4 linked regions of the Schizosaccharomyces pombe genome follow. The gene in region 1 interacts genetically with each later gene. Each region holds a gene or a part of one and is shown in the gene's direction. Other genes may lie near its edges. The genes, in order: tup11, php5, ssn6 and cgs1.

What was found.
Region 2: of tup11 (region 1) and php5, changing one suppresses a phenotype caused by changing the other (phenotypic suppression), as found in Schizosaccharomyces pombe (2 studies listed by BioGRID).
Region 3: of tup11 (region 1) and ssn6, changing one suppresses a phenotype caused by changing the other (phenotypic suppression), as found in Schizosaccharomyces pombe (one study listed by BioGRID).
Region 4: of tup11 (region 1) and cgs1, changing one suppresses a phenotype caused by changing the other (phenotypic suppression), as found in Schizosaccharomyces pombe (one study listed by BioGRID).

What each region holds. Positions count from the first base shown.
Region 1 is NC_003424.3:297,593-304,743, reverse strand, and holds tup11 (transcriptional corepressor Tup11), read left to right. Parts: upstream 1-2,947; 5' UTR 2,948-3,032; coding exon 3,033-3,156; intron 3,157-3,223; coding exon 3,224-3,308; intron 3,309-3,332; exon of another isoform or gene 3,333-3,480; coding exon 3,481-5,116; 3' UTR 5,117-5,466; downstream 5,467-7,151. Other genes in the region: protein pat10, read right to left, coding at 13-70, 209-281; SPOM_SPAC18B11.09C (serine O-acetyltransferase activity), read right to left, coding at 725-892, 951-1,028, 1,104-1,410, 1,513-1,583; SPOM_SPAC18B11.11 (GTPase-activating protein), read left to right, coding at 5,958-7,151.
Region 2 is NC_003423.3:3,390,989-3,398,304, reverse strand, and holds php5 (CCAAT-binding factor complex histone fold subunit Php5), read left to right. Parts: upstream 1-1,798; 5' UTR 1,799-2,604; coding exon 2,605-2,949; exon of another isoform or gene 2,950-2,994; coding exon 2,995-3,024; exon of another isoform or gene 3,025-3,082; coding exon 3,083-3,955; 3' UTR 3,956-4,401; downstream 4,402-7,316. Other genes in the region: mitochondrial [2Fe-2S] cluster assembly NADPH-ferredoxin reductase Arh1, read right to left, coding at 1-388, 471-677; lys9 (saccharopine dehydrogenase), read left to right, coding at 5,136-6,488; mitochondrial F1-FO ATP synthase peripheral stalk assembly factor Ina17, read right to left, coding at 6,923-6,954, 7,001-7,127, 7,236-7,316. UniProt on the Schizosaccharomyces pombe protein: Component of the CCAAT-bound heteromer, php5 is essential for DNA-binding activity. It is essential for transcription activation of cyc1. It is the linchpin that binds to the subunit association domains (SAD) of php2 and php3 to bring these proteins together.
Region 3 is NC_003423.3:3,858,533-3,868,295, forward strand, and holds ssn6 (transcriptional corepressor Ssn6), read left to right. Parts: upstream 1-3,767; 5' UTR 3,768-4,972; coding exon 4,973-8,281; 3' UTR 8,282-8,520; downstream 8,521-9,763. Other genes in the region: mri1 (methylthioribose-1-phosphate isomerase), read right to left, coding at 8,990-9,763. UniProt on the Schizosaccharomyces pombe protein: Acts as a component of the ssn6-tup corepressor complexes, which are involved in the repression of many genes in a wide variety of physiological processes. May also be involved in the derepression of at least some target genes.
Region 4 is NC_003424.3:3,641,115-3,648,646, forward strand, and holds cgs1 (cAMP-dependent protein kinase regulatory subunit Cgs1), read left to right. Parts: upstream 1-1,914; 5' UTR 1,915-2,124; coding exon 2,125-2,254; exon of another isoform or gene 2,255-2,519; coding exon 2,520-3,628; 3' UTR 3,629-4,522; downstream 4,523-7,532. Other genes in the region: DNA-binding forkhead transcription factor for ribosomal proteins Fhl1, read left to right, coding at 1-1,105; SPOM_SPAC1142.09 (uncharacterized protein), read left to right, coding at 1,384-1,731; SPOM_SPAC8C9.04 (uncharacterized protein), read left to right, coding at 5,161-7,104.

The sequences.
Region 1 (7,151 bases):
TATCTTACATACTTGAAACGAAGAAATAAAGCAGCCATACACGTGGCTGTGCTTACCAAACTCAAGCCAACTATAATAGGGTTAGCAAACTTAATAAATTATTTGACGAAAGAAAGGATTTAAAATATTCCACAATGAACTAAAGCTTGAGCGATTAAATCAGCGTAACTCACGATTGGGTTCAATTTGAAAGTGCTTTCTACTTTACCTTCTTCATTTGCTTTGACTCTAGCTTTGTAGGGAACGATTAAATCAGGTCGTTTAAGTTCTGCAGGCGCCATATTTTATGAATTTTCGTTGTCGAGACTTCAGAACTGGTGAATGGGATGGTTCCTCTACAAGAATATAATGAAGTTAGTAATAAAATGTGTAAAATGGTTTTAGGTTAGGTTATTTAGCATTCAAATATATCGTGGGGGTTAAGAGTTCTTATCCCACTAAGAATTTCAACTATTTTAGACTTGGCTAAGCATTAGAATTAAAATCGATTGCAGTACCACGTGGGGGCTTTAGCAAGTCATAGGAGGAAACTGATCCTACTTGGCGAGTGAGAAATGGATTTCTTTTAGCATTCTAAGTCTTCTATATAACAATTTAAAGCTCAAACATAATATAATATTATTTATACTATTTTAAAAATTTAGGAACCAAGCCAGGTGAACTTAAGAAGTTCAAAGAGCATTTAATCGTTAGATGAAATAATAAAAAAAAAAATTACACTCGTTCACTCGTTTTCAATTTTACGAATAGGTTTGGCAGGTGATCCTACAGCCAACGTATTAGGTGGGATGTCTTTTGTAACAACAGCACCCGCTCCAATTACACTGCCTTCCCCGATAGTAACACCTGGGAGAACTATAACTCCCATACCAATCCAAACATTGTCCTGAATCTTGATAAAATTTTGTTTGTTAGTTGTAAGATGTTTCAATAACTGGACTAACGCATACGTTAATTGGTAAACCAAATTCAATTCCGGAGTTCCTTGCTTTAAAATCCAAGGGATGTGTTGCTGTACATAGTTGAACCTGGAAAGACACCATTAGTATATTTATTTTTTGAATGAATGACTTGAAAGTAACTATATATATATATAAACATACATTGGGGCCTAGCATTACATTATTACCAATAGTAATTATGGCAACATCTAGAAATGTACAATTATAATTTGCAAAGAATTTTTTTCCAAAATGAACGTTAAATCCGTAATCAAAAGCCATAGGTGGCTCAATCTCTGGTGCTGAAGATTCGTCAAATACAAAAACTTCAGCCAACAGTTCAGCTCGTCTTTTAATCAATTCTGCTGGGCCTACATTTTCCAAATCTCCCATAGTGTCATTAAACCTTCGCATTAATTTTTTAGCATTACATCTCGCTTGAGTCAACTCCTCGTCGTAAGCCTTGTACCTGTTATTTAGTAATTAGAATATCTCCCTGCGTTCAATGTGACTTCAAACATGTCAACGAAGATGATATATTAGCTCGACAAGTTTTAAGCATTAGCCTTACGGTTGACCAGATATCATTTTTTGGTATTCAATGGTTTTCGGTATCATTTTTTGTACACGAGTACGAGTCATTTCTGTCGGAAAACAAGTATATTCACTAGCATTGACAATGGGACTAGTAGAGTTATCGATGTATAAATAGACTTATATATATATATATATATGTATTGATATCAATATTAACAAATTGCTGATAAAACTATACGGAAACTTTTTAGTGAAATAGTTTGTAAAACGTAAGTAAAAACATCTCGATGATATATAGCGTCAGCTGTTACACTACATTATGCCCCACTATGCAACATATCATTAATTGTCGCATTGCTTTATGTCTGGCCCCTACTCGTATTACCACCAGCATACCAAAATTTATCAAGTTACAAGTAAATAGTTAGTGTAGCTTAACAAACGCTGAGGGCCGTAAACTGACAAGCAATAACAAGATATGCAATGAACGTTGTCCGTCCCTTTTTTAATCTTGCTTTCCTCCTGTATCATTAAACTGATTAAACTGGGTAGTAATCCCAAACTAATGTCATATAAAAAAAAAATTCAAAACAACTTAAATAGTACATCAAACAAAAATTGATAAGTAAATAAGCAATAAATATGATTTAAAAATAAATCCAAAGTGTATTTATTAATCGCCCTTGAAGTGTAAATGGCATATCGTGTCAGATTAAATGCTCAATTTCTGACGGCTTCGGTTTGCTGCGCTTAAACATTTTGCTTTAGTGTTAATAAATTTCAACTATGGGATTTTTTCATCCTTCTTCATGATAACTAGATTATATGAAAAAAGCATCTTTAAGACAACCAACAATGTTTTAATATCAGTAAAGTGCGTCAAATTTCGCATCATTAAACAAATAATGTCACTTATGATTAACTGAGTCATTAGCAAATGAAATGTGAATTTACGGGTTAAATACTATCATAACTTTTAATTAATACTTATCAAGATAAAACTCACTGTAATAATGTCTTACAAAGGTCGGTAAACAATCTAATTAAACAAGGATCAGATAATAAATTGATTAAACACAAATTTTAATTTTTTTATATTGATATATAAAAACGGTTAACAAATTTTTCCATCAATAAAAAAAAAATGAATTACACTACGTTTCAAAGTTATAACTATTTTTTTATAACAAACATCAACTGAAAAGCAAGAAAATCTATATTCAAAAAAATAATATAAACGCTACAAAAAATCAAACAGTAAAGGGTTTCGAATTGCTTTTCTCTATAATTCAAATGAATTTCAAAATAATTGGGACAAGTTGCCAACACACACGCCATACTAATTTTGTGATACTTGCTCAACCAAAAATATGTAGCACCACATTCTCTATTTAAAGATTAGCGCAGCACAAGGAGCCGCTCGATAAAAGTGCTGCTACAAACGTTCAAGAACACAAGTTTATTCTTGTACCACAATTCAAGTGTTGCTATTGTTGTAAAAGGGCGTATATCAATCGGATTCAGTTTTTGCAATAAGTCTGACTGAAAAAAAAAATGGCGTCAGTGGAGGATGCCACGAAAGTTCAAGAAATGCTGGATGCGTTGAAGGCTGAATACAATGCTTTGGCTCATCATAGCTTCGCGTCCAAGGCGCGCGGAAACGACTATGAATCTTCTAGTACGTGTTTGAATAAAATAAATTAAATTAGCTATTTTTTGGAAACTAACATTCTGTTCTATTGCAGTGATACAATCTCAAATTCAAGAAATTGAAGCGTTCCGAAAAACCGTGGATGATATGTATGAAAAACAAAAATCTATTAGAGAAACGTAAGTTTTTATATGTTAAAGGTATCGAGGGATTATATAGTATCTACTTCTTTTCTGTGAAATTCATCATTATTTTATAATAGCATACGTGTCGCTCGAGATTTATATGCTTGAAGTAAAAAAAAAAAAACCTTTATAACATCTGTCTTCACCAATTTACTAACATTTATAGGTACGAAAAAGATATCAACAAGTTGAAGCGAGAGCTTGAAGAATTAGGTGTCGAAGCGAATACCGCAAGTTATAGAAATCGTGGAGAAAGATCTGAACTTGCCGCTTCTAATAATCAAGTTACCCATATTGATCAGGAACATCCCTCTCAAACCAAATCTACTTCTCAGCCTCCAAGTAACCATCTACCTGCCTTTCAGCAAATCCCTCCAATTCACCAATCAGCTTATCCTCAAAATAATGTTGCTGAAGTATTGATGCCTCCAATTCCTCCTTCAGTAGAGGCTTCTAGCGGGCAAAATTTTAATCAGGGAATTGCTTCTCAAAATCCCGCGATATCTACATCCAATTTACCTAGTACTACACCTTTATATATCCCTCCTGTTAATTACGGAGCAAATCAGGTTTCTCAACAACCAAATCCTCAATTGCCTGGTGTTTCCAATTATTATAATCCAAGTGCTACTTCAAAACCTGCTGTGAATGTCCAGCCACCGCGTATTCCTACCAAAGCAACTCCTTCGGCTGAACCTTCTATGACTGCTTCTGCGAATGCTGGTTCTATATCCCAAGCGGGTCCTGATGGAGAATATCAGGGAAGAGAACAGATTGCTCCAGTTTCAGATACAGAAGCTGCTAGAAAGACAACTTCTCAGAGTTGGTACGTCACTTATAACCCAGCATGCAAAAGGGTTTTTAATATTAATCTCGTGCACACACTAGAGCATCCCAGTGTTGTTTGCTGCGTTAAGTTTAGTAACAATGGCAAGTATTTAGCAACTGGCTGTAACCAGGCCGCTAATGTCTTTGATGTTCAGACTGGCAAAAAACTTTTTACTTTGCATGAAGAATCACCTGATCCTTCCCGTGATTTGTATGTGAGAACCATTGCTTTCAGCCCTGATGGTAAGTATTTAGTCACGGGAACAGAAGATCGTCAAATAAAACTCTGGGATCTCTCAACTCAAAAAGTTCGTTACGTATTTTCAGGTCATGAACAAGATATCTATTCCTTAGATTTTAGCCATAATGGGCGATTCATCGTCTCTGGTAGTGGCGATCGAACTGCACGACTCTGGGATGTGGAGACAGGTCAATGTATTTTAAAGTTAGAAATTGAGAATGGTGTGACGGCAATAGCCATCTCTCCAAATGATCAATTCATTGCAGTTGGTAGTCTAGATCAGATAATTCGAGTATGGTCTGTGTCGGGTACTTTGGTTGAACGATTGGAAGGTCATAAGGAGAGTGTTTATTCTATTGCCTTTTCGCCCGACAGCAGCATTCTTCTTAGTGGAAGTCTTGATAAGACTATCAAAGTCTGGGAATTACAAGCAACTCGTTCAGTTGGCCTTTCAGCTATTAAGCCTGAAGGTATTTGCAAAGCCACCTATACAGGACATACTGATTTTGTTCTTTCAGTAGCTGTTTCACCCGACAGCCGTTGGGGATTAAGCGGATCGAAGGATAGAAGTATGCAATTCTGGGATTTGCAAACAGGCCAATCTTATCTCACTTGTCAAGGACACAAGAATTCAGTTATTTCCGTATGCTTTAGCCCAGATGGTAGGCAATTTGCTTCGGGAAGTGGTGATTTACGTGCTCGCATATGGTCAATTGACCCTGCATCTCCTTGAATTTTTGTTCCTGTTTACATATAACTATTTGCTCTCGGAAATAGTTAACCGCATTGATTTTTGGTTACAAAGTTTACAAACTAAATTTTGTAAACTCTATTACTACACTGGTATATTTCCTTAATTTGTATCATATTTTTTTTGCAATATTATTTCCTTTACTTACGGTCACAATAGACAAATCATCACTCAGTTTTTTAATGTCACTAATTTTGGAGAATGGCTTCTCTCATAAATTAACTGAGACACTTTTTATTTAAAAAATAAACAATTAATAAAAAATTCCTTAATTTTTAATTTTAGTTCTATGATAAATGTTGCATAACTTGAGATAATACTTAATACTTTTCAATGTAGATTCTTGAAATACATGTGGTTGATTAAACATTTTTTAAATGGTTATTCTTGTATTTAGTAATTTGCATATCTCCACCTTGACTCCGAAATTCACCAACAGATTTATCATATACTCGCTAAAATTATGTATGTATTAACCATCTTCTGACTTCTTCAACGCGAAGAAGACTCATTGTTTCGATTTTATTGACTAAAACATAGAAATTGAATAAATCCTAATCGATGCTATATTGAGGTGTGCTTTTACAATCCGTTACAGTTCGATATCTGCACGTTTCTTAAGGCTATCTTTTCAGGAGTTTATAATAATCCTCCACGGCTTAAGCAGTCTATAATTTGGGTTTACTTCATTAAATCTTTAATTTAGCACTTTTTAAATATATTTAAAATCTTAATACTTAAATCGGTGCCAACCCAGGACCTATATTACGTTTGGGTTAAAGAAAAATTGTCGTTGTTTGCTGCATCGATTTATATCTAAGCTATGAAGGCTTTGGATATAGACACGATTCTCACCCAAATATCGAATCAACAGTCATTGGATAAACGCTACAAACGCATAAAAAGGCTCATCAACAATGAGCAGTTTTGTAAAAATGTAATCCTACAAAAACTTGTTGATTCCACTAAAGACATTATTGAAAATAAAGTTCACGGAAACATACTGGCAGCCACTATTTCCTTATGGACTCATGCAGCTGAAAAGCATAAAGAAATGTCTTCCGATGACCGTGCACTATTATTCAACGAGCTGTCAAAGGTTCCGAATTCTGAATACTATCCTGCTACTGTAGACGCCTTGATTGTTATTACATCCCAAGGCGAAAGAACTGAGTCTTTTTCAAATGACATACTTAAAGTTTTGTCTGAATGGTTGACTGATTTATTTACGATTATTGATGATATGCGAGCTCAGTCGAGAAAATCCTTCAAAGGAAGTGCTGAATTGAGAAATTACACCCGTTGTTTTCGTCAGATAATTCTCTTGCTTACGAATATGTTCAGGGTGGGCTTTAATTTATTTGATGAAATGGAGGTTTCTTCTATGCTAGCGAATTGTGTGTGGGTCTCAAAAAGCACCACCGATGAAGAAGACATTGCATTAGTTTTTTCGTTATTAAATTGTATTATATCCTATGGTCGCATATCTTCCGCTGTTTTGTATTCTATTGTTGAAGTAGTATGTCGAGCAAAATTTGGCTTAGTCGCAAGCTCACAATCAGCTCAGCAGATTGTTGAGAAACTGTTGAAGACAGCGACCAAGTACGAAGCACTTAATTCCCTAAAACGGATAATGGAAGAGACAGATGAAGGTTCTTATATAGCGATTATGGGTGGTATTCAAATCGTGAGTGCTCTCTTTACCGATATCCCTAGATCAGTGTATTGCACTAGAGGAATGCTGCTTGGATTCCTTCAAAGATCCTTAAAGAATAAATCTAGTCGAATAGCTTTAGAAACCACTCGTTCTTTATATAATGCTTTGGAGCGCCGTTCTTTTGTTGAAGTGCTTTATGCAGATGAATGGATCAGCCTTTTAGATTTGCTTGTTGAAATATCTTCATCACTTCCTAAATCTCTCAATTACCGACCTGGAACTTGGCAGCACATTGAGCCTAATATAATTGAGTCTATTGCATCGTATCAATTACAACATCTTCTTTTATTTAACGAAATT
Region 2 (7,316 bases), on another chromosome or scaffold:
TGCTTCTTTCAAGTGATTTGAGGAACAATGGATTAATGTCAGTTGGGGATAATTGAGCAGGATTACTTAAAAGGATTCGAGCTACATCAAGTGAAACATTACCATGTCCAATAACTACTGCATCCTCTACCTGACTTAAATCCAACTCAAGATTTTGATTTCTGGGATCACTGTTATACCAACCCACCACTTCTCGCGCACTATAAACACCTGACAAGTCCTCCCCTGGAATTCCCAGTCTCTTGTCCCCAGCAGCTCCATAGGCAAGGACCAAACAATCATAATTTTTAGTCAAATCCCGTAAAGAAACATCAGTCCCAACGTTTACGTTACCAAGGAAGCGAAATTGTGTAGACTCAGCAATTTCGGAAAACTTGTGTTCTACATGCTACAATAGAGGTTAGCTGTATAATAAATTTAATAAGATCCATTTTTAAACCAATCAATATTTCTTGGCTTAACAGACTTACCTTAACTTCTGGATGATCTGGGGCAACTCCATAACGTACAAGCCCAAATGGAACTGGGCGGGATTCAAACATATCTATTTTGACATTTGGGTCATTTCGTAAGAGTCTGTGGGCTGTGTAAAAAGCAGCCGGCCCAGAACCGATGATGCCGACTACAGGTGAAGAAGTTTGAGTGCTATATGTTCTTTTAATGAATCGTGATAGCATCCTTTCTTAGCCTTAAGATGAAAGAAAAACAAAAAATGATTGAAATGAAGAAGTGAAGGATATCTTCGTGATTGTAAATCTGATATAAAACTAGCAGCAATTATCATTAACAACTGGACTCTCCTCAAAACGAAAAGAAAAGCTACCAATGCTTAATAAAACTGATTCATTAGTTTTAAAGCTTTAAATGTTTAATCTCAATAAACTGTTTGGTGACACCTATACAACTAGTGAATTTTATAGCATTGGATGAGTGGTCAGGTTCAAGCAGCCAAGCCTTTTGAGAGCAAAGCATTTATATGATAAGATCAGTCAGTATTTAGAAAAAGGAAATTTCTTATTAAATCAAAGGTAATTACAAACAGGAAAGTTGAATCAAACGCTACAACAGAACTTTTGCTGATCGTTGCTTACGATATTACCAGCAACAAACATCTCATATAGTAAAGTGCAAACCTTCAAATAAGTGTTTTATGTTGTTATTATGAGTGACTTAAGCAGCTTCAAACTGATTTCTGCAATGATTTTTTTATGATATTTCAAATAACTAGTTAGATGATTGTGGCTCAAATGGTTAATTTGAAAACGATATATTTAAATTTCTTAAAAATAATTAATCTCTGCTTATTCAATCATACTTATTTATAAAGATGCTAAACCTAGCTACTTGAAAGTGTTTTCTAATTCCTACTATTATAATGATAAAACAAAAAATAAGAATTTATTACATTCAAAATAATTCTATTTATAAAGGTCAATTACTCTTTCACGTTTAAAGAACTGTTGTAAGACCAACAAATTGTAACGCGGTAAGCTTTATCTTTGCGAGGACTTTAAAAAGGCGTAAGATTCAATTAACAAGGATGTATTTTAATGTAATTCCTGGATTGAAGTCAATTACTATACGTATTTTCTATTCTGTTTGCTTTAATTACTGAATAATATTTGCACATGCTATTGTTTATAGTATTATATCTACTACCGCGAAAACATTAATTATGTATATCAAATAATGAATATTTACGTGTCGTTAAAGTGTTTTAGCAATTGTAGAAACAAAGTATGTGGTACTATAAACCGGTTCCATCAATAAGTTGTGTGACAGCCAACCATCTTCTGCCAGCCACCAATAAATTCAATCGTACCGATTTTCGCTATATTGAGTGTTTTTGCACTCTATATACTTAATTAAGCCAGGTGTAATACGCTACATAGATAATTCAAGACACTTCGACGAGTTAAGGTGCTTTACTAGTGTTCTTTATTGAAGTTCTTTGTTTTAAGAAGTTAATGTGTTAGAGATACGTTAGTAACTGCACTTGTTGCTTTGTCTTACTCATTCTACGAGTTTTTCGTGAATTAAGACGATTGGTATTTATCTTTTTAGATATTGCAACTAAGCCTCGTGTTTAGCCGTTCGTGTTCCTTTCGATTGTAAAACTTTTTATTTTTTTCTTTCCGTTCCACTCTTCAACTTGACGTCAATTTGTTTTACTTCCCTGTTTCGTCTCCTGCTCACCTCTCATATAAGTTTAATTCCCCATTTTACCGGAGACTACTCCGCTCCCTTTCTATTTTATTTCTACTTATCTTGGTTACGATTTTGTTAAGCTGTACATCAAGGTATTGGAAGTTTTCTTTAATCCGCATCTTTATCGCCTCTTAATATTTAGATTTTCGATTTGAAATTCTTTAGCTTAAATTATTGTCAGTTTCTTTAACAGCTTTGTTTTTAGGAAACTGGTATTTGTTAGATCCCGGCATAGTTACAATTTTTGTCATTGTCGTTTTTTTAAACCTGTCACCAGTGAGATTGCATTGATCTCTTATCTAATTGGCAAAGGCCTTTACGTTTCCAGTTTTCTTTTTAAACTAAATTGCCTTTCTGTAGACTTTTTTTCGTTTTTCAATTAAGATTCATTGCAAAATGAATTCTATTCCTGATTCCTATTCCTTGAAACAAGGCTTTCCCGAAGGTTTAGGAGAATATGTTGATCCCTCTGGCAATCCTAATTCTCAGGTACGGATAGGTTATGGTCAAGATTCTGTTTCTCGCTTCCAACAACCAGTCCCCGATGTTGATCCAACTGCTGTCAATCACTACAACGCTAGTGCACCCATTGAGGTTGCTAGTCCATTTGATAATGTTACTCAAGGTCTTGTTGGCAGTGATGCACAAGCCCTTGCTGAATATTGGCAAAAAACCATCGATACATTGGAACATGACGATCAAGCTGTAAAAACTCTGCATCTTCCCTTAGCTCGTATTAAGGTATGCCACTTTTTCTGAATTAATTACTAACTATTGATTATGCAGAAAGTTATGAAAACTGACGATGATGTGAAGGTACGTTACTTTGAGTATTCGAATACTTTTTGACATTAACTTTTACTAATTTTTTTAGAATAAAATGATCTCGGCAGAAGCTCCTTTTCTGTTCGCTAAAGGAAGTGAGATATTTATTGCAGAGCTTACTATGAGGGCTTGGCTTCATGCCAAAAAAAATCAACGAAGGACACTACAAAGATCCGATATTGCAAATGCAGTATCAAAATCTGAAATGTATGATTTCTTAATTGATATTATATCTAAAGATAACAATAATTCCCGCGCATCTTCCAGTCAAGCTCATATGTCTGCTACTCAAGTTGCTGCTATGGGTGGTATGAATGGTTTACAACCTTTCCCCACTCAAGCTGGCTTACCCAATCAAGGGTTTCCAATGCCAACTGGTAGTCAACTTCCATTTTCAAATCAACAGTCAAGTCAGCCTTCAATGCAGTATTCCTCTCATCCATCCAGAATGCAGCAAATGCAAGATATTGATCAATCTATGTATAAACAGCAGCGTCTGGGCTCTGAATATCCACAACTACAAATGTCAGATAACTCCGGAAATGTTAACCAGATGAATATGCAAAGACCGGTCATGGTAGCACCGTACATGGCTGAGCATTTATACCGTTATCCACCTACGCATCTCGAATCTGGATCCTCAGCTTTCCGATTGCAGTCATCCCCTATGGGATATCAAATGCCCCAATTTCAAGGTAATATGCGACCTAATATGCAACAGTCTCAAATGTTTGATCCTTCTGCATATGGTATGTCAAGAAGACCTGGATCTCCTCGGCAATTCGATCAGCAACAGAGACTTTATTCACAGCCAAACGCTATGATGTATCAAACTCAGCAAGGGCGTCAGGGAAACCCAATGCATCAGCAGTTTTCCCAGCAACAAAACCCTCTTTCTCGCTATTCGCAACAACCCCAGTAATATCTTTTAATACCTGTTGATTTAGAACATGCAATTTAAATAATTTCTATTAAATTATTTGGGAGGATCCAACAGTGATGCATTTTTAGGTGGAACTTTCAATTTGTCAATTTTCGGTTTATCTACAAAAGCTTAAAGAAACAGTTGATTTTCATGACATGCTATGTCTAGTCATTGTTACTTTTTTTAAGCTATGTGTGGTTTTATTTTTTTAGCAAGACCGAAAAAGAAATGACGGAAGCTTTTCATATTTGCTGCCTCTTTATTTTCCCATTGCGGGACTGCTAGTGTAGAGTATTTTGTTTTACTTAAACATATATATGCATTTGAAATTCATTGTCGATAACATTCTACCTATTATGGATATTTACGGGTTGTCAATGTAAATAAATGATGGCATGTTGCAATCGGTTACCAAGAAGCAATTAGCTTTAAACAACGTTTAGGTTTACTTTATAATTAAATTTATTCGTATATGTACTTGAAAATTTGCACTTTTGATGATTTTTTAATTTAAAATCTCATAAATTTTAACTTCTATGTAAAAAGGTATTTAGGCTCATTATGCAAGGAAATTACAGCTGCTTTCATTCCCGACTGCATAAAAAACCACCATTCCACGGCCACCATACTCGAGGTAAAAATGAGTACGGCGGTGCGAGGCAGTTTAATTTACTCCTTCACCAGAACTACGCAGTTGATTATGAACAACAGATAGGCAGAAAGAGGAGAAACAAATTATTCTTATACTAAAGCTTAGAATTCTTTAATCTACCCCCAAACAACAACGAATGGCATCTACTAGCTTTTAAGCAACTTCTGTTCTGCAGAAAAAAACTACGTAAAAAAAGTTGCTAAAACTATCAGTTGCGACATCGCTGCTAACAAATTATCGACTAAACTTGTCGATAATAACGAATTCCCCTAGTAAGCCAAACATAACATTGAGAGGAAACGTAACGATTAAATATTAATTCAAAAAATGGTCCATGTGACTGCTTTTTTAACCGATTCGAGATAATCAGTTTTCATCAATTTAGACGACGATTTCGGCCATCAGAAATAAATCTGTGGATAAAAAGGAACCCCTTATATATCGCTAAAACCGTGACGACAAAACAGAAGTCTTTGGTTTACCACTTGTCCTTAACTGACTGCCTCTTTCATTTTCAACATCAAAATGCCTTCCATCTTATTACTTGGTTCGGGATTTGTCGCTCATCCTACTTTAGAATATTTATCTCGTCGTAAAGAAAATAATATAACCGTAGCATGCAGAACTCTTTCTAAGGCTGAAGCATTTATTAATGGTATCCCAAACAGCAAAGCCATTGCTTTGGATGTCAATGATGAAGCAGCTCTTGAGAAAGCTGTTTCCGAACATGATCTTACCATCAGCTTGATTCCTTACACTTATCATGCAACAGTTATGAAAGCTGCCATTAAGCATGGTAAACACGTTTGTACCACCAGTTATGTGAATCCCAAAATGGCTGAGTTGGAGGAAGCTGCCATCAAGGCTGGTTCTATTTGTATGAACGAAATCGGCGTCGATCCCGGTATTGATCATTTATATGCTATCAAGACCATTGAAGAGGTTCATAAAGCTGGCGGTAAGATTAAGTCTTTCTTGTCTTATTGTGGAGGTCTTCCCGCTCCCGAGGACTCCAACAATCCTTTAGGATACAAGTTTTCTTGGTCTTCTCGTGGTGTTTTGTTGGCTCTTCGCAACTCTGCCAAGTTTTATGAAAACGGCAAACTTGTTGAAATTGACGGCAAGGATTTGATGGAAACTGCTAAACCCTATTTCATCTATCCCGGTTACGCTTTCGTTTGTTATCCTAATCGTGATTCCACTGTCTACCAAGAGCGCTATCAAATACCTGAAGCAGAAACTATCATTCGCGGTACTTTACGTTACCAAGGATTTCCCGAGTTTATTCATTGTTTGGTTGATATGGGATTTTTGGATGAGACAGCTCAGGAATACTTATCTCCTGAAGCACCCGCTTTGCCTTGGAAGGAGGTTACTGCTCGTGTCATCAAGGCTGAATCTTCCTCCGAAGCCGACCTAATCAAGAAAATTTCTTCCATCCACAAATTCAAAGATGAAGACGACAAGAAGCGCATTTTGAATGGTTTGAAGTGGCTTGGTATGTTCTCTAGCAAACCCGTTACTCCTCGTGGTAATCCTTTGGACACCTTATGCGCTACCTTGGAGGAACTTATGCAATACGAAGAAGGTGAACGTGATATGTTAATCCTTCAACACAAGTTTGAAGTTGAAACCAAAGAAGGAAAACGCCAAACTCGTACTTGCACTTTGCTTGACTACGGTGTTCCTAATGGCTACACCTCTATGGCAAAATTAGTCGGCGTTCCTTGTGGTGTTGCTACTCAGCAAATTCTTGATGGTGTTATTAACACCCCAGGTGTTTTGGCTCCTAATGATATGAAGCTTTGCGGTCCATTGATTGATACACTTGCCAAAGAAGGTATTCGATTGGAGGAAGAAATTATTGACGAAGAGTAAGCATGTTTCACGCTTTGGTTCCAAACTCTTATATATAAGTTTGACATTTTAGAACACCAAAGCTTCTTCATTTTCTATAATTATTCGTAATCTTAGAGTTCGTCAACCTTTTTTTTGGCAATTTATCTACATGTTCATAAGTATAAATGTTCAGTTTGTTTTGCAACCTTATTTATGTGAAGCTTTACTTGGGGTTTTCGTATTTTCTAAGTAGATGTATTTAGTCTTAGGTAACCGACGTAAAACTCGAAGAAAAAATAACCTCTTCTCGATTATTTGAACAAACAACTCGAGGACCTTTTGACTGAGTGTTTCGTCTGTAGCATTTAGCTATTCAAAGAATTTTTGACATACTGAACTATTAACAAATCGTAATCTCGCTTCTTTAAGCCATATACGTTACTAAATTTCTGGGTCATACAAATCTCGTGTTTTTATTTCGCATTCTCTAAATTCCGTAATTCGCCTAAATGTCAACAAACTAAAAGAGCTTTCACATATCAACAACTTACTGTTTTTAATAGCTTCCTGTTCTGATGCATCTAATTTCCACCAAACTATTTCCAATCCATAATAAGTTGCTAAGGCAAAAAGCGTCACTTTACCAAGAGGTCTAGCGTAGTTTTTATAAAACATAATCTTTATGATCGTTAATAAAATAATGTTAAATAAAACAATGCAAAAATGCTTGAATGAATTTTAGCACAGATAAAATTTATGACCTAAAGCGTATTTAGAAAAGCTTACATGAGGTGAGATTTCTTTTTGTTGACTATTAAATCTTTTCTGCTGAACTGGCACCTTTTTTACAGTCCATTTCGCAAAATT
Region 3 (9,763 bases), on another chromosome or scaffold:
GAACGATGGATGATTGAAAGTGTCGCTTAGTTTTAAGATAACGACAATTCCCTTGATTTCGCAATTCTCCTTTTGGGTACTTTAGGCTCCCCTGGCTCCCTAACGATGCTTTCTTGTAGCGCTGGCTCTGGTGCGTGTTTTTTTGCGCTGATGCTTGATATCAATCATGTCATTTCATTCTATGCATTTAGGGGTTCGGACACTGAGTGTCACGAATGCAATCTATCATACAATATCAAATTTCCAATCTCTCGGTAACTTTGTATGCATTATTAGCAGACAAGTGACGTTTTATGCAGTAGTAGCAGTTTTTGCAATGGAAGTAGTAAGCCAGCAAGCAAGGAATGGAAAAGGTATGTTGTATGTGTATCCCCCCTTCCTTGTCTGACCTGACTTGGCCTAACCCTGTCTTAACGCAGCCTTGGCTTTCTTCGTTACACAATGCTATTTCTATTTTAAGTGTGTTATACTGGGTTATGCTATTCTCGAAGCCAATCTTGCCAATGTGAGCAAGTGAGCCAATCTCGGAAAAAACCTCCCCGTTCCTTCCTTTACCGCCGTGCAGTGAGAGGTGACGTGAAATTGAGATCATTGGTGATTGGGAAGATCAGATGGTTTTGGTACGACTTTTCTTAAAATTGCCATTTTGTCCATACCGTCAATGCCAAGGAAATTGACTCGATATCCGTTTCGGAACGCCCTGATACTACGTCATTTTTCAGGGTAGGGGTGAAGTCAGTTTTCTCAAGGGGGCACTGCCCCACATGGGCTCTAATGGACATCGGTGTTTTTTTTTTTCATCTTGCGGCACCAGTCGAGTCAGTTTGACCAAATTGGCCTTGAAAGATGACTGACCTCTTATTTGTCGATGACAGCGGCCCTCATTGACGATGACGACACTTTTTTGGAATGAGTGAATAAGGCGCGATAGTGTTTTCTCCTATTTGGTGATATGGAAACGGTGCGTTTTTCTACGCGCATCTTCCGAAGAGGTAAGGTTTGGCTTTCGAGACCTAAAAGTCATTCTCCTATCAATCGCGTCATGTTAGATTGTTGATGGGCCTTGGGCAGTGGGAGGTTCTTGTAGGGAAAAATAGCACGTTGCAAGAAGGACGAAAGAGCACAAGGAGGAGGATCAGAGAAAGAAAGAAAGAAAGAAGAAAAGAACAAATTCTTGCGCACTTCACTAAATAGATGGTAGCGAAACATATAAAAGAGGCTAGACATAAGAGAAACGCTAGACTTGGGAGAAACGCTGGAGGTAGGAGGAACGCTAGATATGGGAAGAGTTGAGTAGGGAGAGAGAGTAAAGAAAGAATGAAAAGGAAGATTAGAAGAAGAAAGAGGGATAGAATAAAAAGGAAATGGTTTTATTCCTGTTGAATGATTGAAATAGTTGTATGAATAGATGCAAATAACTATCATTAAACATATAAATAGATGCAAATACAAATAATACTAATAATTTAAATAATATTAACAATACAAATAATTTAAATAATACAAATAACTATCATTAAACATCTAAATAACTCGCCAACTAAACATCCAATTCCTATTTATAAACATCGAAACAACATACATCCGTATAAGAATGAATCTTGAGGATCCTTTTCATTATAATAGTATAGTTTAGTAAAGTAAAGTATAGTCTAGTATAGTATAGTATAGTATAGTATTTTCTTTTCTTTTAGATTTCCCCTTGACATTATCGACTCTTTTCTTCGTTTATTAGTAAAGCATGTATGTTACATTAAATCAAATTTCATTCGGTTTTTCTTTTTCCTTTATGTGCAGCGCTCAACAAAGGGACAGGGATGCTATGGACTAAAAATCGTGCTGATGGAAGCGGCAGACATTACAACGTCACCTGCAACGATGCCTTATCATATGTGCGTACGTGTGCAAATCGAGAATGGGATCGACGGACAAAAGAGATGCAATTTTCTTCTCGTCGCAGTAGGAGCGAGCATACAGCGATCGGGTGATACTTGGAGAATCAAGTAGGGACGAATGAAAGTGTGTATGAATTTGGGGAGTAGTAGGAGTAAAATGAAGAGTAAGGGGGACTAGTAAAGAGTCATGGTGGCCGTAAGAAAAGAATCTCGTATAATAAGAAAGTTTTCATATCAATAATATCGATGCATCCAGGTTGTAAGAGGTCGTCATTCAGAAAGGTAAGATATTGTCATGGTCTTGGTCATGCCTGCCCAAATGTTAATGTCACTGTCGGCTCTCGCAACTCGTAATCACTTATGTGAGCTTACTTTAGATACGCTGCCCATGTGGGTCTAGCCAATTTACTGAAATACATTGAACCCTTTCGCAAAGTTCGTTCCACTGCACTCTTTTTTTTTCGTTTTGCAAACTGCTCTTGTCATCCATCCATCCTTTCATGGCTAAACTAATTGAATGGAAGGGGATGGCGTGGAAATTGCAAAGCATGCATGACAGATCAAGTCAAGCGATGTGCTTTGAGCGATACGTTTTCAGCAATGTGTTTTGCGCTAGACTTTTCGCTGCCGCAGCACTTTTGATCGATCGGTTCGGTATTCGGTGGAGTGGAAATTGCCGTAAAGAAATTTCACCTTTTTCCATCATCTCATTAAGAGTGTTCGGTTTCGCATGCTTTTTTTTTTTTTTACTTGCGCATTTGCTTTGCATCCTCCTATTTTGCCTTGTGGCTGCTTTGGACAAGCCATCCCATCAACCAAAAGCATATGCAGTGTGATTCGTTGGTAAATTTTCTTTTTTCCTTTTTACTTTCTTTCTTCTCTTATCTTGCAAGTAACACGATGCGTTTTGTTTACGTTGATTACTTTTGTCTCTACTAGCGCCCTGTGCTAGGCTCAATTTTGCAAGCGGTGAGCTAACTTACGCTACACTATATATCCTCAACCAACAGAATGGGCTCAAAGACGAATAGAGTCGTTTGTTGCTTTGTTCATTTCGCACTGTGGAATACAGTTTCCATAAAGTCGCTTTTTTTTTTTTTTTTAAAGTAAAAAGATTTTTCGAAATTGTTATTGATTGAATGTTTCTTTTTTTTCTTCTTTTTTCTTTTTTTTTTTAAATTCTATCCAATCCAACTTTTGTTATTTTTCTCCTTCTCTCTATTATGACGCTTCCCTCCTTTTTTTACTACCAACGTAACCGATAACCCCAATTTCTTCTTTATCCCCGTCTATCCCCATTCCTTTCACACTCCATCTAGTTCCTTGTTGATGAATAATAATCTTCTTTACAAACAGAAACGCTTGAAATTCTCCCAGCTCTCTTGACTCACCCATTTCATCCAATCTCGCCCATCTTTCTTCCTTATTGTGCGCTCTCTCTCTCTCTCTATCTATGCCTTCCCTCGCCTACACATTTTGCCTTGTATCGCCCTTGTCCTGCATCTCTCTCTTTTGCGTTATATTTAAAATACGAGCTCCAAGCCGTCGCCAACTCGTCAGCCTTACCTTACCCTGTCTTGCCCTTGCCTTTGCCTTTTGTCATAACACTCCCGTCTTTGTTACTTCGCTCTCGTGAAAACGCGATGATTCTCAGGTGACATTTTGCGAGGTCAAAGTTCCGTTTGTGTTGCACCTGGTTGTCAGCATTCACTTTTTACCTCTTTTGCGTTTGTCTTGATTTGCCCCTTCATTTCTTCCCCCCTCCTTTTGCCGCTGCTTCCCTCTTCCACCCGCTCAACCCAAGTACAAAGAGGCACAATCGGGGTTTACCGAAATCCTTATATATTAGATTCACTATACTCCCTGTTCTTGATCTTGGTTTTGTCGTTGACTTTTTTGTCACTAGGTGAGCTTCTCTCGCATATCTCATACTCACCCACTCCCGCTCACTCGCTCTCGGCGCACTCGTATACATTGCAGTGTTGTACGTCTTTACGCACTTACCCTTAGTCAGCCAGCATAGCAGCACTCTTGTCAACTACATCTTTGCTTGGCGCATAGGAAAACGACAGTTTCGCAGACTAGAATTTTTCTTCTAACTATTCTTCAAGTCTTGCTCTGCGCTTTATATCGCATCGTGTTTTTAGAGTCTATTTCCATTTGGTTATTTGCTCTTTTTCCTTTTGCTTTTCTTCAACAGACTACTTGAGTCGGTCGGTCGTTCGTTGGTCTTGACGGCGACGTTGCGCGACATCTCATAACTTTTCGTAAGTATTTCAATTTTTTTCTTTTTTTTGTGGGCAAATAAAATTCGGGAAGCTTTTTTGTTTTTCTTTCTTTTTTTTTATACAATTGCAAACTTGACATAGCTTAGCTTTTTTTTTTCTATTTTGCTTTTGCTTTTGTTTGCTTGCTTTTTCTTTTTATAGTTTCTTTTTTTTTTTTTGTTGCTCGACATCAATCACACGAATCTAACCATTCACAAGTGATTACTCTACTTGACACTGTTTCAACACTGTGTCTCGTTCCCTGCTTTCATTTGCCTTTTGGTTTTTTGGTGTAACGGCTTGTTAACTCTTAGGACCAAGTATATAGTATAGGAAAGTACATCACTGTATACTACAAATACAGTTTTGTTTTATCTGACATACTCGCCTACCTTTACACGTATTGGTGAAACAAGGACCATTTTTTTTCCATTGATCAATTCACTTTGCCTGGATAACCTATTATTCCACTGAATTGCTCTTGGCATCGTTGTACAGTATCCACTTTTATACGACAACATCCTTCGTTTTTCGCTGTAATTTTTTCTTTTTCTTTTTTTAATCAATTCCTTTTTTCCATTCTATTTTTGTGGTTTACGTGGATTTCGTTCTCTGAACTTTTCCTTTTCCATAAGCGGATGTTGCATTCTTGAAGAATTTCTATTCTTTTTCTCTGTTCTTTTTTTTTTCTTTTCTCTTTTTCATTGTCCATTGTTTATTGTTAATTATTATTATTTTTTTTTTCATATTTCGATCTCCTCCGTGTTTTCGTTCTTCTCTATCTAATTTGTACTTAAAAACTTTTTTGATATGCCCCAATCACAAGTCGCTACTGCTTCTCCTTCCCAGAATGCACAGCCCAACCATGGCATGGGCTCAAAAGTCCTCTCGTCCGACCCAAATGCTTCGCTGCCCCCTCAGACTGCTTACTACGCTTCACCCCTCCATGCCAATTCTGTTTCCCTTCCCCCTTCTCATCTTCCTCGTTCCACATTGCATCCTCTACTATCTCAACAGCAGCAACCTGCCCAGCAGTCTCCCTCTTTAGGCCCTGCCCAGCAAAACATTCAACAACCACCCTCTGTCTCTATTGCATCCCAGCCTCATTATGCTGAAGCCATTGTTCCCATTCAGCAGGTTCTACAACCTCAACAATACCGACAACTTCCTCCAAACATGGTTGCTGCTACGAATGCACCTCAGCAGCATCCTCAGTTGCAACGAATGATGCCCATACTCTCTTCCAACCAACCCATTCAACAGCTACCCCTTCCCAACCAGGCTTCTCCTTACATTCCCGTTCCCCTGCAACAGCAACAACAATCGCAACCCCAACAACAGCCTCAACAGCAACAACATCAACAGCCTCAACAACCGCAGCCGCCTCAGCAGCCTTTGCAGCAACAACAACAGCAGCGTCAGTTACATTCTGGTATTCAGCAGCCCGTCTCTACAATAGTTTCTCAAAATGGTACTTACTATTCGATTCCTGCCGTCAATCATCCAATGGCTGGCCAACCTATTGCTATTGCCCCCGTTCCTGCTCCAAACCAGGCTGCATTGCCTCCCATTCCTCCACAGGCTCTTCCTGCAAATGGCACCCCAAACACCTTGGCCAGTCCGGTGACCCTTCCTGCAGCAAATTCCGCTGTTCAAAATGCCCAGCCTGTTCCCATGACTTCTTCTCCTGCTATGGCTGTTGTACCTCAAAATAAAACCGCAGCTACTTCTACGCTTGCTGCTCAACAAGGCGCCAATGTGCTGCCGCCCAACGCTCCTGAATCTGTTCGTCATTTAATTTCACTTAACGAGGAAACTTGGATTCAGATTGGCCGTCTTGCAGAGCTATTTGATGATCAGGATAAAGCCCTTTCTGCTTATGAGTCCGCTTTGCGCCAGAACCCATATTCGATTCCCGCTATGCTTCAAATTGCTACCATATTACGAAACCGCGAGCAATTTCCGCTTGCCATTGAATATTACCAAACTATTTTAGACTGTGATCCTAAGCAGGGTGAAATTTGGAGTGCTTTAGGTCACTGTTATTTGATGCAGGATGATCTTTCTCGCGCTTATTCCGCCTATCGTCAAGCTTTGTACCATTTGAAAGATCCCAAAGATCCGAAACTATGGTACGGGATCGGTATTTTATACGACCGTTATGGCTCTCATGAGCATGCTGAGGAGGCATTTATGCAATGCTTACGCATGGATCCCAACTTCGAGAAGGTTAATGAAATATATTTTCGTTTGGGAATCATTTACAAACAGCAGCATAAATTTGCCCAATCGTTAGAGCTTTTTCGTCACATCCTTGATAATCCCCCTAAGCCTTTAACCGTCTTGGACATATACTTCCAAATTGGTCACGTATACGAGCAACGAAAAGAGTATAAATTAGCCAAGGAAGCGTATGAACGTGTCTTAGCTGAAACTCCCAATCATGCCAAGGTTCTACAGCAACTCGGATGGCTGTGCCATCAACAGTCATCTTCGTTTACTAACCAGGATCTTGCTATACAATATCTGACTAAATCTTTAGAAGCAGATGACACTGATGCTCAGTCTTGGTATCTGATAGGTCGTTGTTATGTGGCACAACAAAAATACAACAAGGCATATGAAGCGTATCAACAAGCTGTGTATCGTGATGGTAGAAATCCTACCTTTTGGTGCTCGATTGGTGTTTTGTATTATCAAATCAACCAATATCAAGACGCCTTGGATGCTTATTCCCGTGCTATTCGCTTAAATCCTTACATCTCGGAAGTCTGGTATGACTTGGGTACTTTGTACGAGAGTTGTCATAATCAAATAAGTGATGCGCTTGATGCTTATCAGCGTGCTGCTGAATTGGACCCCACTAATCCTCACATCAAGGCAAGGTTACAATTGTTACGTGGACCTAATAATGAACAACATAAAATTGTCAACGCTCCTCCTTCCAATGTCCCAAACGTACAGACTGCAAAGTATATCAACCAGCCAGGCGTGCCTTACTCTAATGTTCCTGTTGCTCAGTTGTCGGGTAATTGGCAACCTCCACACTTACCTCAAGCTCAACTTCCTTCTGCTACCGGTCAATCAGGCGTCGTGCAACAGCCTTACCAAACACAACCGTCAGTTACTAATAACAACGTGGCTACTCAGCCAGTAATTGCTTCTACTGTTCCTGTACAAACTGCTGCTCCATCGAGCCAGACTGCTGTGCCACAGACTATACACCAATCTAATGCTTTTACTCCTCGAGGCAAGCACGCTTCAGGTTCTCGAAATTCTATTTCGTCTACCAAGTCTCCTCAACATAAGTTATCAGATCAGCCGCGTTCACGCAATAATTCTATTTCTAATGTTAGTCATCGTGAACGTAGCAATTCAGTTTCTAGTAAATCAAGGGAAACGAGGACTTCAGCTTCGAATGAAAGTGATCCTAAAAAATCTACTCAACGTGATTCCTCTAAAAAGCTGGAGAATAGCACAGTTGTTAGTGGATCACCTAGTTCAAGCTCAAAATCTGATGCTGCTAAGAGTATTAAACCACAAAAACCCGAGCCTGCTTTGAAACCGGTTGAAGGCACAGCTGATCCAAAGAGTACCAAGCGTAATCACCAGGAGACTGAGAAAACTGCTGATACTGACGTTTCTTCGACGGAGCCAGTAAAGCGTCAGAAAACTGCTGATGTAAATGACGATGTTGGAGAGGAAGAAGTTAAGCAGTCAGTTTCTGAACAGGTGGATTCTGCACAGTTGACTTCGGAACCTAAAAGTGAGAGTTTACCCAAGAGTCCCGAAGAAAAGTCAGATGATACTTCTAATGATGTTACTACTGAAAACACTAACGATATTAACGGCGACAGCAATATGGATAATGTAGCTACCGTTGATAAGTCTACGGATGCTGTTGATACATCTACAGCTACTGTTGCCGCTACTACTACTACTGCAGAAGAGGAACTGCCCCAAAAAGAATCGCAAGAGCGTAGCTCTCCTAGTCCCGAAAATCAAGATTCGACACCTCTTGCCCCAAAAAGTGTGAGTCCAAAGCAAGCAGCAAGGACTCTCGATATTGATGAAAATTACGATGATGATGAGGGAGAAAAAGAAACCGTGTCAGTTTAAGTATACCCCCAAGGCCCAATTTTTTGTAATGTTTATTTCATGATAATCAAGGCTCGAGTACGATTATTAGACTTGATATTGTGTGTGTTGGTTTGAATTGCAATTGCTTTATTTCTTGTATTTATCTGAGTGTTATGCGTCCTAAAAATTTTCTTTGATGTATATAGTTTTCGGAGTTAATAAAAATAACTTTTTGAAATGTAAAATATGCTCACATTTGAAATTTGCTTACAATAGTCATACATATTTTAAAAATTGATGATACTGGTGTAGCTGATACGCGGGAATTTTTGTTAAGGAAAGTATATCCCACCTACGATAAACGTCTGCTATTGATCTGTTGAAACAAAAATTGTATCTGAAGTTGACATTTATCGAGAAAAAAGGAAATTATTTAAAATATATAATCTCGAGACCCTGTGTCATATATTGCATAAATTATAGATGCTTTAATCAAACCAAATATGCACTATTATGGAGGAATCACATAACTAATTATATAAAACAAGTTATTGTAGTCTCATTATCTATTTTTATTAAGTAGACAAAAGCAGAGTAAACTATATATGGAAAGAAAGAAGAGAAACTGAAACAATTCAAAAGACTTTTAAATTTTAGGTGCTAATCACCTGTAAGAATATGCCAAGTTCGCTCACAAATGTTGCTTCTTTAAAGCAGAGACTAGCATAATAAACTATACCAAGGAACTCAAGAAAAATCATACTTATTGTTAGTCTGTTGTGTGTAAAATCCTTTTTCTGTAGCGATGGCAGTTATTAAATTAGCAGGTGTAACGTCGAAAGCTGGGGAATACACGTCAATCCCAGGAGCAGCAATAGAAATTCGAACACGCTTTGGATCCTCTAGATTTCGGCTGTTAGAGTCTGTGATTATGGGGCCTGTAATCGTGGTCATTTCAATCGGAGGTCGCTGTTCAATGGTAATCTGAGAACCAGACGCTAAACTAGTGTCAATTGAAGAAAAGGGAGCAGCCACTATGAAAGGCTTTCCAAAGTGTTTTGCCAAAATAGCAAGATTATATGTGCCAATCTTGTTTGCAGTATCGCCATTACGAGTAACGCGGTCGGCGCCGACGACAATGGCATCGATTTTGTGCATAATTGAAGCAACCGTGGAATCTGTGACTAGAGTTGCTGGAATTTTATCATGAACCAACTCAAAAGCAGTGAGACGAGAGCCTTGGTTATAAGGGCGAGTTTCTGTACAATAAGCGTGTTCCAAGTTCCCCGATTCGTGTAAACTACGAATGATCCCCAAAGCTGTACCATAACCTGAGGTAGCTAAAGATCCAGTGTTGCAATGGGTCAAAACGGTGAGCTTGTCTTTATCTTTGTAATGCTGCAACAAGAATTTTCGGCCAGCAGTTCCAATATTGTGGTTGTCTTCTAAATCTTTTACTAGCATACGCTCCGCTTCCTGAATAATTTTATTTCGACAATTTTTTCCTTCTTGAAGAGCAAT
Region 4 (7,532 bases), 3.3 Mb from region 1:
GGGTAATTTCTTTAGAAGAACAAAAAAGCCCACCCCTTCTGCTACACCAGCTGCTCATCCTGATACTGCTAGGGAGAATGAATTAGCCGCTATCCAGACAAAGGGTATATCAGCTGGAAAAACCGAACAGCTTAATCCGCAAAAAGAAACTAGTCGTAGTAAAACTCATACTTCCCGAGGAGAAAATGTAGAGGATCGACCACAATCCTTACTTCAAAATGGCATTCAACCTATCATTATGCGCGATGGGAAACTTGCTTTGAACCCCGAGTTTTTCAAGAATGCAAATGGAGAGCAACAGGCTCCCAACGAGCAAGCCGTTCAAGCAATTTCACTACTCCAACAGCACATTAATAAGCAGCTAGGACCTGCCGCTGCCAACAACCCGGAGCAAGCCACAGCGATTGCGAATGCTCTCGCTGTGGCTTTAGCCCAAAAACTTCAAAAGCAGCAAACGCAAATGCAAGGGCCCCAACAAGTGCAACAACAGGCAAAGCGTCGTAAAGCTTATACTTCACAGCAACTTAATCCGGCGCCGACTGCAATGCCGCACCCTAACATAACATCACCGTCTCCTAGTATCTCAGTCACTCAACGTCCTGCAGTAAACGTTGGACCACCTCCATATGTTAGGCCATCTGCTCCTTCGAAGTTACCAGATACACGCCAGAGTATTGGAGACCCGTTACCCCCAGGAGCAATGGCTAATGTGTCCGCGGGGCCATCGTCAGTTCGATCATCGTCGTACAACTCCACTGCTTCTGAAAGCAAATCAGAGATAACAAGCCATCAAAATCTACACACCATACCAATAAACAAACCATTCACTTCTGATCGGCCTTTATACTCTTCGCCTAATGATACTTTAGAGAGAGTTGAAACAGGCAATCAAGGACAAAGGATGAATTCCATTGGAAATGCATCAAGCTTTAGTAAAAGAGATATAATGGAAAACGAAAATGGATCTTTTGATACTAATGCAAAGAACGGAAACAATGTTGACGACTCATCTTCAGTAAGGGGCATGAATTTACCATCAAACTCAAGCGACGCTTTACGAGGAGTAAAGCGACCGTTGGACGAGACATCATCCTCTTATACCTGAATTTACTAATGCTCATGCACGTAACGTTGTTGATGACTTCTTAATTAATACATTAGTGCCGAAAATTACACTTACCAGCATGCATAAGCTGTTTCATTTTTCTTTTTTTGACAGTGATTGCACAACTTGGTCTTTGGGTGGTTTCTACTTTTATTTCTCATGTGTTTAATGTTTACCTTAGTTAATACTTTACATAATAAATTGCCGTCTGGTTTTATTTCATTTAATAAGCATTTTCGTTTTCTTGTCGAAAAAGTTAATAGCAAAGCAGGAAGGGTATGGAGGATTCGCTTTTGTTATCTGTGAACATTAGCGATTCCTTATTTACGTTTTCATTGAAACCTTTGTTTAGCCAATACAGAAAGCATATTTACTTCAATGATTGTTTTTATAGCACTTTTAATAAGACCAAAACTATTATTGTTGTAATCCTGTCGGGCAAGCTCTCTGATCTGATAGACTTCAAAAGTTACATTGAATTTGTTTTGAAAACAAACAACTCATATTCAGCGATTCTAATTTCTTACTATAGATGTATATTTATCATATCACTTTTCCATAGACCGCTCACTATTCATTTCTTAACTAACTTAACTCACGGATGTACAAGAAGCTTCACAAAATAATATACCGAAACACTGGAAAACGCAAGCTATGTTGCATCGTCAAACATTCTACTCTCTATTTTTTTATGCGCTTCGATAAACCCCATATTATGGAGTCAGGGCATTGCGTAGTACATTTTATGACGTATGAGTGAGCTAATGCAGGCATCCATCCATTTTAGTCCAACGCCTCAGGTAGACTTTAAACATACATCTCAACCGTAACAAACGAAGGTAAATAACTGATTTGTATAGCTGAATTCAGCTCTTTTATTTTGGAAAATTTACCTCTTGTGGTTGATTAAAGTGTCAGGAAAAGCTGAAGCGAACAAAAACCGCGAGATTGTGATTCACTGAGAGTAAGAAACAAAAAACCGCATTTTTTGAAAGAAAGGCACGTAAACTTTAGGAGACATGTCTTTCGAAGAAGTATATGAGGAGCTAAAAGCCCTTGTTGATGAGCAAAATCCTTCAGATGTACTTCAATTTTGCTATGACTTTTTTGGAGAAAAGCTGAAAGCTGAGCGCTCAGTATTTCGTCGAGGTAAGTAGATGCTTCTGGATAGCTATGTTTAGTGGAGAGGAAAAGTAAATGATGGTCAATATGGGTTCTTTTTTGTGGTTTTTTACTTTGTTTTGCTCTATAGTAAGTATTTTCTAAATTTAGTCAGCAAACAGCAATTATGATTCCTGGCTGTTAATAATTCCACAAAGTTGTTTAAGGACCCTGTACCCATTTAATCTCCCACTCTATACTACACAAATTTTACCCTTTTTTGTTTTATCATGTTAACAAATTTCTCTTTTAGGCGACACCATTACAGAGTCTTTTAGCGACGGAGATGAAAGCGATTTCCTGTCTGAGCTCAACGATATGGTTGCTGGCCCCGAGGCAATTGGTCCGGATGCCAAATACGTTCCTGAATTGGGAGGATTAAAAGAAATGAACGTTTCATATCCGCAAAACTACAATCTGTTGCGTCGCCAATCTGTTTCCACTGAGTCGATGAATCCTAGTGCATTTGCACTAGAGACCAAACGAACCTTTCCTCCGAAGGATCCTGAAGATTTGAAAAGACTAAAGCGCTCAGTTGCTGGGAACTTTTTGTTTAAGAATTTGGATGAAGAACATTACAACGAGGTTCTGAACGCTATGACTGAAAAACGGATTGGAGAGGCTGGTGTTGCTGTCATTGTCCAAGGAGCAGTTGGAGATTACTTTTATATTGTGGAGCAAGGTGAATTCGATGTATACAAAAGGCCCGAACTAAATATTACCCCTGAAGAAGTGCTTTCGAGTGGTTATGGTAACTACATAACTACGATTTCTCCCGGTGAATATTTTGGAGAGTTGGCACTCATGTATAATGCTCCACGAGCTGCATCGGTGGTCTCCAAAACACCAAATAATGTAATTTACGCATTAGATCGTACAAGTTTCCGTCGTATCGTATTTGAAAACGCATATCGCCAGAGGATGCTGTATGAAAGCCTCCTTGAAGAAGTTCCCATTCTCTCAAGCCTTGACAAATATCAACGACAAAAAATTGCCGATGCTCTTCAGACAGTCGTGTATCAAGCCGGTAGCATCGTTATTCGACAAGGCGACATTGGTAACCAGTTTTATCTGATAGAGGATGGCGAGGCTGAAGTAGTGAAGAATGGCAAAGGCGTAGTCGTTACCCTAACCAAGGGAGATTACTTTGGTGAACTAGCTTTAATTCACGAAACAGTGAGAAATGCGACGGTACAGGCAAAAACTCGCCTGAAACTTGCTACATTTGATAAACCTACATTTAATAGACTACTTGGTAACGCGATCGATTTGATGCGTAATCAACCTCGTGCCAGGATGGGAATGGATAATGAGTATGGTGACCAATCTCTTCATAGGTCACCTCCATCAACTAAAGCATAAAATTTCTATAATCTGTTTTCTTTGAAACTATCTTTGTAATAATGACCTGTCATGATATGCTAAAGAATTTCCCTGTTGTTTGTTTGCCTTCTAACTTTTTCATATTGGTCATGCATGCATGTGATTGTTTACCATTATCCCTGGAATAATTTACTTATTCATGTTGAACATGTTTTGTTTGGATTACTTATCTAATTCAGCATTATATGTGATAATGTATATATACGTATTATTCTTTTTTATTTCTTTGAAAACCTTTATGTCTTGTTCTAGCATGGCACTGGATATGGTTTGTTAATGTTTTAATTCCAATTATATTCGTGATTACCACTTCACTGTTCTTATTTTGTTTTTTTTTTTCTTTTTGAAATTTCCTTTTTTTTTTATTATTTTTATCTGTCGAATATCGCAGCATTTGATGTTTGGAAGCTTACCGTTTAGTTTGTGTTTTTTTTTTCGTACGGATCATGACAGTTATTTTATCGTTCTCTTCATCCTGTTTTTTTTTGTTTTTTAATCGATATTTGATATCGTCAAATATTTCTATCTATATGGAGAGTTCTTATATTTGTTTTTTGAATAATCACACACTCTTCAAAACAGCAGCTGCATTCAATAATGTACTTGGCATTGGAGTAACGCACATTATACAAGAATTACCGTGGTCCGTAAACACTTGCAAGCATGAAATACTTAGAAAGCTTTAGGCAGACGCTAGACGTGGGGAAAGGGATGAAGTGTTAAAAATTCAAGAGTGTGGATGTTTTGTATGCAAACTGAGTGAGTTCTCGGTTTTTGTAGTTACGTGACATAACTTTAAAAATTTTATGAGAAATTGACTAATATCAAGAATTGAGAATAGTTTTTTAATACAATACACAAAATTTTTACCAAGTTTTGAGTAAAGGGGTGCAAATTAGATGAAACTACAGTCTGCGATAAACGATACGTGTAACTAGGAGAATGCAAATTGTGTAAAAAACTTATAAAACGAATATCTTGTTAGACAAATAAATTCAGCAAAAAGCGAAAGGACTTTTATTCAATTATCAAATCCGTACGAAATGGGATACAAAAAATTTTAAAGAATACTCAATTTCGTACATTCAATGTTCTTGCGAACATAATAAATAAAAAAACGACTACAGTTGCGAACTATGCGTAAGGTTTTCTTAAACAAGAAAAATTTTTTTCCCCATATTCCATACTACATATTTACTGTGAATGTTCTTAGTAGGGTAGGTTATTCACAACAAGCACAACGGGTAGAAATGACAATTACTGCAGAATAAAGTTAAGCACTCGAGATAAATTGTAATATTAAGAAGATGATCAGCGAAGCAATGTTTTGGTAAAGAAATGTTTTGTTTTGTGTCTTACTTTCGTCTGAATTAACTTTGTTTACATATGCATTTTTTCACTCACATAACAGGGTTTCGTATAAATTCTAGTTACGCCAAGATTTACAACTTCTACCAACCACCAAACAAGAACGCAGAGCGTGTAAAAGTAGAACAAAAATTGAGTTGAATATGACCACGAATCCCGATATTGTTAAACAGACGAAAAATGAAATTCACCAAGTAACGTCGAGAGTCCAGGAGAAGCTGGATTCGAAAAGTACCAACGCGGTCGAGCAGAATAACAATTCTTCCCAGGCGTCCGTCACCAAGGATAACAAGAAGAAGGCCGCTAAACGCGCCAAAAAGAAGGCTGCAAAAAAGAAGAAGCAGTCAGCAGCAGCATCTGCCTCTTCCACACCTGTGGAAGAAGCTCAGCACGCGCAAGAGGAACAACAAGAACAAACCATATTACAAGAGCCAGGATTTACACAAACTATAGTGGAGAAAGACGCTGATCAGGTTGACGAGCCTTTGGAACCCATAGCATCCTCAGCTCTGGGTACTGTAGAGCCGCCTACTGACAACAAACCCTCTGCCTCCACGTCAACAGCAGTGCCAACTACGGAAGCACGCAATACAAGTATTACCGAACCCGCCAATTCCCCTTCCTCCTCCTCCTCATCCGCTTCTACAAAGTCTACTGCAACCACACAATCCGCTGATTACGTCGTAGCCGAACATTTCGCACCCCAGCGCAATGACGAGCAACTCGGTAATTCCCCAGCTTCGATTACGTCTAAGCCAGCAACGACATCTGCTGCGCAACCTTCTTCGAAAGTAGAGGAAAACATGGCGAAAGCTACTTCACAACCCATTACTACCGCTGAGAAAGAAATTCCAGAATTGAAGCCCATTGAGCCTGAAGCTATTATGATATCGAAAGAAATAAATACTACGCATGATCAGGCAGCAGCTACGACAACAGCAGCAGTTGCCTCTGCCTCTACTACTGCCACTGCTGAGTCACATGCAGTGGCCGATGGAATTATGAATGATAACGTACTTGAAAGCATTGGTGAAAACGTTCAGCAAGAGACGGTTTTCGAGGATGCGAGCGACATTCCACATGCAGATGTCATCCCCCATACCACCACAGTAACGGTGGAAGAAGAATCGCCCATCGCCCTTGGCCAGGGAGGTGTGACGCATGAGGCAACAACCAGTGCTAGAGCTAGTGCTAGTGGCATTCCGGGAGCATTTGAAGAGGTGCAACAAACTGTACAGGAGGACCTTCCTCATCCCACCGCCGAAACGGTTGAAATCGCGAGATTTGCTGAACAACCCGTCCGTGCTCAGCAACCTGAGCAATACGAGTCTTCCGTTGTCCAAGAAGCTACTGAAACTGTGACCGATGTTGGCAAGGGTGTCTCTTCCACTGTCAAGAACGAGGTAAATGTCCCCTCGACCATTCCCACCGAGTCTGAAAACCCAGTGGCCGTTGGAGGTACCACTGCAGAACACCCAGTGCAAGAAGCTGTCACTGCCCCTACCGAGACTGCTCATGATTTCTCCAAGGAAACCACCACTGCTTCCAAAAGGGTGTCAAAACATGACAAGGCGTCCGCCGAGAAACATAAGGTTGCCAGGAAACCCTCTTCTACTGGACAAGAGCCAACGACTCCTTCCACGCCTGCCAAATCAGCCCAGTCCTCCAAGCATGCACGTAGACCTTCAAAACAAGCATCTGCTCCCTCCAGTCCCGGTACTACGTCGGCTGCTGTACCAGGAGGAAAGAAGTCCGCTATTGAAGCTGCTGCTCCTATCCCGACTTCTGCTGATACCGTCGAGTCTAAACATGCTGCTGGTTCTGGTTCTGCTACCACCATACCTTCTCCTGGTTCTGCCACCACCAAACCTACTCCTGGTTCTGCCACCACCAAACCTACTCCTGTTTCTGCTACTGAGGAACATGCTGCCGGCACTACCAAGCCAGCTCCTGCTGCTGGTGCCACTGCGACAGCTGAGAATGAGACGGCTGATGGAAAGGCACAAACCGCCACTGATGGTGAAGCAGCTCCCAAGAAGTCTTGGTTCAAACGTATGAAAAAGTCTTTTGGCAAACTGTTCCACTAGGGTTTACCTGGAAGCATTGGGCATATGTTTGATTTCCGTCTTTTATTTTTGTATGTTGAAAAATTCACCTTTTAGCGACATGACGGTGTCGATGATGATGATGATGATGATGATTTGAGTGAGTGAATGAGTGTTGCTGGGCTATTTGTTTGAAATTGGATTATTGATGTTTAATTATTCGACAATAAAGCCGAATTGTTGATCTAACAATCGATCGTTCATTATTTTGCTGTTTTGTATTCCAGTCTTTTTCTTTTCAAATCACTCATTAGTTTCCATAAGTTGGTTTGGGTAGTCTTAATTTTAAAAAATCTCCATCTTTGTATTTAAGGATTTTTTTTTTCGTATTTAATTGCTTTCCATTATATCACTTTGGATATTATTGTGTGATCGACTATGCCACTGAAGTGTTTGCGTTATGTTTTCTT